2 linked regions of the Ovis aries genome follow. The protein of the gene in region 2 purifies or fractionates together with the protein of the main gene of each other region. This does not show direct contact. Links are inferred from orthologs where the notes say so. Each region holds a gene or a part of one and is shown on either strand. Other genes may lie near its edges. The genes, in order: RRS1 and REXO4.

Region 1 (3,778 bases), on a different chromosome or scaffold from region 2:
GCAGCAGCAGCAGGTCAATTTGACAAATGAATCAAAAGATAGTAGTAATATTGCAAGTAAGGATTTTGTAGGTTTCTTTCTCTCTTCCCCAAACAGATCCCACTTGAAGCTTAAAAAAAAAACACCTGGGATATAAATACTGATAAAGATTTAAGTATAAAATTAGGATTAGGACTTCCCTAGTGGTCCAGTGGCCAGGATTCCACACTCCCGATACAGGGGACCTGGGTTCAATCCCTAGTCTGGGAACTAGATCCCACATACTGCAACTAAGACCCAGCACAGCCAAATAAATAAACATTAAAAAAAAAAAAAAAAAAACTGAGATTGAGGATTATTACCATTATTTAGTGAAGTCCAAATTTATCATTTACAGCAAATTAATGTTTTCAGTGTTGAAAAGCATCAAATTTTGTTTTTGAAAGAGACACACTTTCAGTATTATATCTGACACCGAAAGCAGGATGAGTTTTTCTAATAAAAGTGGTCTTGCTGAAATCATAATGTAACTGCTATGTTTTCTAGAAAGTAAATGAAAATAATCTGTACCAGGTATCCAGGTCATTGGTTTTACTTAAAATGTAACCTTTCTGTTCCCACATGCTTTGATAAATACACAAACTTGTCATCAAAATAATGCAGAAACCAGCTGTTAAGTCTCTCCCTTAAACCCCATCCAAAGTTTAAAGAGAGGGAAAAAAAAGGCTGTTTAAAAGTAAAACTCATTCCTAGTTTTCACAGATTCTTTCCCTAATTCAGATGTTCTTAAATACAACCTTTAATCTCCAGCCAGAGTTTTGGTTGTGGGAAATACATTAATTTGTCCAGTCCAACATTTACATATCATCTTCAGAGGAGGGTAAACCTGGCCCTTTAACCTCAAGCTCAGTGAAGGCAGTGGCCAAATCTTGTGCATCTGGGTACTGTATCTAGAACTTAGCATTAAGTACAGTTCTTGGTTTAGGAGAAGGTCCAAGGATGAAATTTACTTCCTCCTCTTTCCTCCTTGGTGTTGCCCCCCTTTTCTCTTGCCACTCAGGCCGGGAGGTCCGGAATTCATCTTGCCTCCCAAACCCCCTTTCCTCTTCCCTCCTTGGCTGGGCGGGCCCCCCTTCCTCTTACCCCCGGGACCCTGTCGGGCCCCCTTTCTCTTGCCCTTCTGACTCATTTTCCTCCGCTTGGCCGCCTCCTCCTGGTCCTCCTCTCTCATCTGCTTATTGGTGGCCCTCGTAATGTCCAACTGAGGCTTTTTGCTGTTCATCACTCGCAGCATCTCCAACTGGCTCTTTCTCTCGGCCGCAAAGTCCCCGAAAAGAGGCTGAAACTTCCTCTTCTTGCCAGAGCCCCTGGGCGCCTTCTCCTTGGGCAGGCGCTCCTGGAAGCGCCCCACAGAGGCAGTGGAGACCTTGGCCACCTGCATGGCGCGGCCCAGCTCCTCCTTACTCTGGTGTCCAGTAGGGTGCATGCCGGCCGCGCTGGGCAGCTGCATCTTGTGCGCGCGGGCCAGGTTACGCAGCCGGTTCAGTTCGTTCTTGGCCACCCGTTCCTTCTTAGCCTGAATCCGCTTGGCGAACTGGTCCTCCATGGGGTCGGCATTGCCCGGCACCTCGATCAGCCACTCCTTGGTGTCGTCGCGGGCTCGCTGGTAGCCCCAGCGGCGGCGCCACTGGCCGCTCACCTCGTCCCACACCAGATTGGTTTTCTTCTTGGGACGGATGCCCTTGAGGCGCGCAAACTGCTGCCAGCGAGTAAGAGGCCGCGGCCTGGGCACCGGCTTCTCGCGCGGCAGACGAGTGCTGGGTTCCGGCAGCCGTGCCACCAGCGCCTCCTCCACGCGCTCGGTAGGCAGCTGCCACAGCTGGTTGATGAGCAGCTGCGTGTTGTCCCGCGCCAGGGCCCTCAGCTCGGCCTCCTGTGTGGGTCCCGCGTGCCGCAGCCCGGTCGGGGGGTTCCGGTCAGAGGCCAGCAAATTACCCAGGTCGAACTCCAGCTCCAATTCCTTCTGCACCGTGATGCGCTGTAGCTTCTCTGCCTCGTCCCGCTCCGCCTTTGCCAGCAGCTCCTCCACGCTCTGGCCCTCCATGGCTCCGGTTCGGCTCGCTACCTCTGGGAGACAGTTCTAGTCACGACTCCTCCTACAAGGGTTAAAGCCGCGGCACCCCAGACACGTGCGACTTCCCGGACGCTCGACCCGGAAGAGAAAGTTCCGCTTCCGGGGCACCCGGAAGGGGCTCAAGGAGCGGGCTACCCGAGGAACGGCCGGCAGAGGGCGGTGTTAGAGAGCAGATGAGATTAGAGGCAGCCTTTGGGGTGGAGCCCGGAGGTAGGCGGAGCCGAATCTACGAATTCCGAGGCCTGATTGGGACCTTGGCTCCCAGGATGCCCCTGCGGGAGGGGGTGGTCCTGTGCGAGCTGGGCAAGTTAGGGGGCCGCGGACTAAGCGGGCCCGGGAGCGACTGTTAGTTTTAGTGTGTGTAAAAGTCAGTTCTCAAGTTGTTTAGCCAGTCATTTTCACCAGAGCCTTGACACCTGTTCATGGTGTGCCCCCGGGTGTGGGCACTTCACCTGGGGATGTACAGAAAGCTAAGTGGAGACGGAGACTTTGTTTTCTTTGGGAGCGAGCGGGTCTGGCGGTTAGACCGCCCTGAAGGGGCGCGGCTGTGCCCCCATCCTGGCGACTTCAAGTCTGGTCTCCGGAGCCCAGGGCCACCTTCTCTCCTGGCTGATGGCAGAAGAGCGCGGGGCTCAGCTGTTAGACCGCCGGGGTTCCGACCTTGACCGCTCTGGTGTTTGACCTTCGGCTGTGTAACTTGTTTGTGCCTATTCTTAAACCTGTAAGATGGGGTTGCAAATATTACCTCCCAGGTCTGCCGTGAAGATAAATGAGTTAATATGCTCCCAAGGGAGCTTACACTGGAGTCTTGGGCATATGAGTGCTCAATAAATGTGAGCTAAATACCAGTAATTGTTTAATTCTCATCATGGCTCTGGGAACTCTGCTGAAAAGGCAGTCTTATACAGTGATTAAACACCAGGTTCTTGAATCAAGCTACCTAGAATAAGATCTGGGTTTCTTGTACCCACATTGGTCAGGTTGTTTAACTTAAGTCCTATTCATAAGTTGATGAATATGAATCATTAGTTCCTGGTACATTGTAAGCATTCAGTAAGTGTTGGCTACTGTTATTCACTATATTCCGCTGGTGACAGAAGCAGGCTCAGAGAAGTAAAATGACTTGTCTAAGGTTATACAGCCAGGAAGTATGGGAGCAGGAGAAGTCTAAACTCTGGCTCTAAAACTACATACATATTCTCTGCAATGTCTTCCAGACTCTTGATACTCAAAAAAGTGTGGTCTGTTGACCAGCAGTACAGCAGCATCTGGGAGCTTATTAGAAATGCAGAGTCTCTGGCCTTAGCCCAGATGTTATGACTCAGAACTTTTATTTTAACAAAATATCTTAGTGATTAATGGAAATGAAAGGGGTTAGTTGCTCAGTGATCTCCAGAATTCTATGAACAGAGAAGCCCAGCAGGCTACAGTCCATGGGTTCTCAAAGAATTGGATTCAACTGAGCAGCTAACATTTTGACTTTCATGGCTTCCCCGGAGGCTCAGATGGTAAAGAAGCTGCCTGTTGTATGAACCCAGACCCTAGTTCAATCCTTGGGTTGTCAAGATCCCCTGGAGAGGGGAATGGCAACCCACTCCAGTATTCTTGCCTAAAGAATTCCACAGACTGTATAGTCCATGGAGTTGCAAAGAGTTGGACATGACT
Region 2 (4,485 bases):
ACAGCAGCTATGGGACAGGGTCAGCCTCTGCTCTGCCTACGTTCTAGGGGGACAGACTTACCCCAGGTTAATTCTAAATTAGCTGAATCACCCTGAATTACCCACGAAGAAACCCACAACGCCAGGATAAGGTGACAGAGGGGCCACCAGCCTCGGCCTCCTTAGGGAGAGAGGCCTCGGTGGCTGTGACCGGGGAGGAGGCTGAGGCACAGGGCGGCCGGGAAGGCCGCATCCATCATCACGTCCCGTGGTACTTACTTGGTGGGCAGGGCTGGAGGCAAGGGGGCAGTCGGCTCCTCAGCTTTCCGCTTCTTATGTTTGATGTCGCCTTGCTGCCGAGAAATGTCACCACTGGTCCTTTTCTCGGCCCCTTTCTCCTTGGGCTGCGCCTGTATCTTCCTGCTATTCAGTGATCCCGAGGGCCCAGAGGACCCTGTGACCTCAGGGTCTGTGTTTTCCATCCCCATCGCATCTCTCTTTGCTTTATCTGAGATCGAGTTTCTACTTTGTTGGACATGCTGTGGCTGCTTTTTGGAATCCGTTTGAGAGAGAAGTGGAGGCTCTTGTGGAGTCTGTGATCTTTGTTTCAGCAGCTAATAGAACCCAAAACAAAATACACAACGCACTGTGATTTGGGAATCGCACACCAGAGGTGGGAAAGAAGCGCGTCTGTGTCCAGAAGCCGCCCGCCCCCGCACTGTTGTTTCAGAGTCTCCTCCTCCCGAGCCCACGCGTGGGGGCCACTTCCTCAGCCAGATCCCTTGGTTTGCTCCTGCTGTGAGGGTCTCAGGAAGAGATGGTCACGTCCAGTGACACGGGGTGGACCACCATACCCCTGCTCTCCCCCAGGGAGGGCTGAGGTCTCCCAGCCCAGCGCCCTCGGTTAAGACCCTGCTGTGCGGCAACCAGCTGAGTGAGGAGGCAGTTCCTACCTAGCTGTTCCTGTGATGTTTAAACAACAGGAGAACTGCCTTTCTTGTATGAATTAGAGAAAACGTGAAGTTTCTTCCCACAACAAATATCCATCCCTCTGCTCGCTTCTTTTTGCTTTACTTTCTTGTAAGAAAGAGGCCGAGTTACAGCCCAGGAAGTCTGAGACCCCTGGGGTTGCCCGAGGGAATTTCATGGTCTATGTGTCAGGACAGGAGAATGATCTGGACTCCCCCCTTAAGGCGCAGGTTAACAGTCTCAGAAGCCCTTCTCTGCGCTCCCCCTCACCCACTCTGAGACTCCTGGAGAGATCTCAGGAGCTCAGAAGAGGCTGCGGAGACACCATGAGGGTCGGCAGCAGCAAAGAGCGCGAACTCCCACCCAGCCCTGTGCACCTGCACCCCAGGCGCTCGCTGTGTGACCCTGGGCCATGTCCCTCAACCCCTCCCAGTCTCCTCATCCAGAAAACAGCTGTACAGCAGCAGCCGACTCTGGCGAAGGCGGTTTACGAGTGAAGCTCAGCCGACGACAGCACCCAGGAGATAGTGGCCGGTAGGTAATCTGCAAGTCTTGGTGCACTGATGGCCCAGAAAGGCAAGGAGGTATCGTGGCATTACGAGCAGGGAGTTGATGGGAGGGGGCTTGGGGTCTGACTCCTGGCTCTGCTGACCTGGTTGCAATCTACTTAACCTGTCAGGCCCACTTCCTCATCTGTAAAATGCAGATGATACAAGATCTCAGAGTCGGTCTCAGGTTAAATATGAACACATCAGCTCAGCTCATCCAGCAGTGTCTAAAGCACACGTGAAGCACTCAGTGATCAGTAGCAGTGGTCACCGATTAAAGGCCCAGTGTTGCCAGAATTTCATGGCAAATAGATGGGGAAACAGTGACAGACTTTATTTTTTGGAGCTCCAAAATCACTGCAGATGGTGACTGAAGCCACGAAATTAAGACACTTACTCCTTGGAAGGAAAGCTATGACAAACCTAGACAGCATATTAAACAACAGAGATGTTTCTTTCTGACAAATGTCTATACGGTCAAAGCTATGATTTTTCCAGTAGTCATGTATGGATGTGAGAGTTGGACCATAAAGAAAGCTGGCACCAAAGAATGGATGCTTTTGAACTGTGGTGTTGGAGAAGACTTTTAAGAGTCCCTTGGACTGCAAGGAGATCCAACCACTCCATCCTAAAGGAGATCAGTCCTGGGTGTTTATTGGCAGGACTGACTCTGAGACTGAAGCTCCAATACTTTGACCACCTCATGCGAAGAGCTGACTCACTGGAAAAGACTCTGATGCTGGCAAAGACTGAAGGCGGGAGAAGGGGACGACAGAGGATGAGATGGTTGGATGGCCATCACCGACTCGATGGACAGGAGTTGGTGATGAACAGGGAGGCCCGGTGTGCTGCAGTCCAGGGGGTCGCGAAGAGTCGGACACGACTGAGCGACTGAACTGAACTGAACTGTCAGCAGGGTCCTCTGCATGCAGCCTCTGCTGTTCCGCAGCCCACGCGCTCCGGCCTCTGCGATCGGCTCTGCTCCCCGGGTCCGCTCCAGCCCGCGCGCCCCCCGGGACCCACACACCGTCCCCCTCTCCGCCCGTAGGCCCCCCGCGGACTTGCCTCCTGCAGCGCCTTCCAGTTCGGGGAAAAGTCCTCCGGGGCCTTTGGGGGCCGCACCGCGACCACTCCGGGGTCGTTCCCCGGCGCCCCACCGGCTTCTCGCGCTTTGCTCCTCCAGGCCCTTTTCTTCCGTCTCGGCTTCCTGACGGGCCCAGCGTCAGGCGCGGGGGCACGCGGGGCGCGCGCGGCGGCCGGCCCCCTCGCTTTCACCATGCCGGCCCCGGAGCCCGGCTGCCCGCAGTCCGGGACCCCGGAAGCCGCCCGGCACGCGTCCCCCTCACGTGGGCCCCGGTTTCCGGGAAGTGCTCTCTCTCTCCCCAACCGGGCTAGAAACCGAGCCTTCGCCTCTGGTTCCACACAGCCGGGAGAAGGGCGGGCCTCCTCGACTGCTGAGGAGAAGGGCCGCCGCCCTGGTGAGCGGCGTCCGCGGTTGGAGGCCCCGGGTCGGGTTGGAAGAAGCCCGGGATGTCTCTGAGGGCAGGCCCGGGGCCGAGAAAGGCGAGCGCCGGAAGGGGAGCGAGGGGGACCGCTGTTGGTGTAGCACCGAGGCCGGGCCGGCGGGGAGCGCGGCAGGCGGCCGCCAGGGGGCGCTGGGCGGCCGGACCGGGGAGCAGCGGGCGCGGAGCCGACGCCCGGTCCTGCGGGCCGCTGTCCGCCGGCCGCTGTTCCCACCCCGGCCCGTCTTGCCTACGCGGCGGGGACACTGAGGTCCAGGGCCGGGAGGGGCGACCCCAGGTGGCTCTCCGCAGTCCAGCAGCATCCGATAACAAGGATAAAGCGCTGGGACAAGTGTTGTCTGTTCAGTTCAGTTCAGTCGCTCAGTCATGTCCAACTCTTGCGACCCCGTGGACTGCAGCGCGCCAAGCCTCCCTGTCCATCACCAACTCCCGCAGTTTACTCAAACTCATGTCCGTTGAGTCGGTGACGCCATCCAACCATCCCATCCTCTGTCGTCCCCTTCTCCTCCTGCCTTCGATCTTTCCCAGCATCAGGGTCTCTTCAGCTGAGTCAGCTCTTCGCATCAGGTGGCCAAAGTATTGGAGTTTCAGCTCCAGCATCAGTCCTTTCAATGAACACTCAAGACTGATCTCCTTTAGAATGGACTGGTTGGATCTCCTTGCAGTCCAAGGGACTCTCAAGAGTCTTCTCCAACACCACAGTTCAAAAGCTTCAATTCTTCGGTGCTCAGCTTTCTTTATAGTCCAGCTCTCACATCCATACATGACTACTGGAAAAAACATAGCTTTGACTAGACGGACCTTTGTTGGCAAAGTAATGTCTCTGTTTTTGAGTATGCTGTCTAGGTTGGTCATAACGTTTCTTCCAAGGAGTGAGAGTGTTGTATGTTATGTGACAACAATGATGTTACTCGCACCTCCTGCCTGGCTCTGACAACACCTGGAGGCCAGGCCTGCATTTCCCCAAAGCTCCCATCCCAGCCTCTGTACCTGTGCTGGGGGCCCTTCAGGGAGATTCAGATACCAAATCAGCAATTTTGTATCCTAGCAACTGCCACCAAGATGAGAAGATGAAATGCTGTGTTAGAGACCGAGGAGGGTTAAGGCTGCCAAAGAACCTGCAGGACGCCCAGAGAAACAGGGATTTCAGATAAAGAATAATTTTTACTATAATATGTTCCATATAATAGCTACAACACTGAGGGCATACTCCTTGTTTAGTCGCTAGGTTGCGTCCCAACTCTTGTGACCCCGTAGACGGTAGCCTGCCAGGCTTCTCTTGTCCATGGGCTTTCCCAAGGGAAGAATACTGGAGAGGGTTGCCATTTCTTTCTTCAGAAGATCTTTCCGACCCAGAGATCCAACCACATCTCCCGCTTGGCAGGTGGATTCTTTGTCACTGAGCCACCTGGGAGGCCCTGAGGACGTCATTGTTATTGTTCAGCTGCTAAGTCATGTCCAACTTT

What was found.
Region 1: the proteins of REXO4 (region 2) and RRS1 purify together in Homo sapiens (co-immunoprecipitation; 3 studies listed by BioGRID and IntAct, with this or other methods). This does not show direct contact. The link is inferred for Ovis aries from reciprocal best matches to the Homo sapiens genes REXO4 and RRS1.

The regions. Positions count from the first base shown.
Region 1 is NC_056062.1:43,654,765-43,658,542, reverse strand, and holds RRS1 (ribosome biogenesis regulatory protein homolog), read right to left. Parts: upstream 2,201-3,778; 5' UTR 2,084-2,200; coding exon 986-2,083; 3' UTR 556-985; downstream 1-555. UniProt on the Homo sapiens protein: Involved in ribosomal large subunit assembly. May regulate the localization of the 5S RNP/5S ribonucleoprotein particle to the nucleolus.
Region 2 is NC_056056.1:2,638,894-2,643,378, reverse strand, and holds the start of REXO4 (RNA exonuclease 4), read right to left. Parts: upstream 2,821-4,485; 5' UTR 2,775-2,820; coding exon 2,562-2,774; intron 594-2,561; coding exon 259-593; intron 1-258.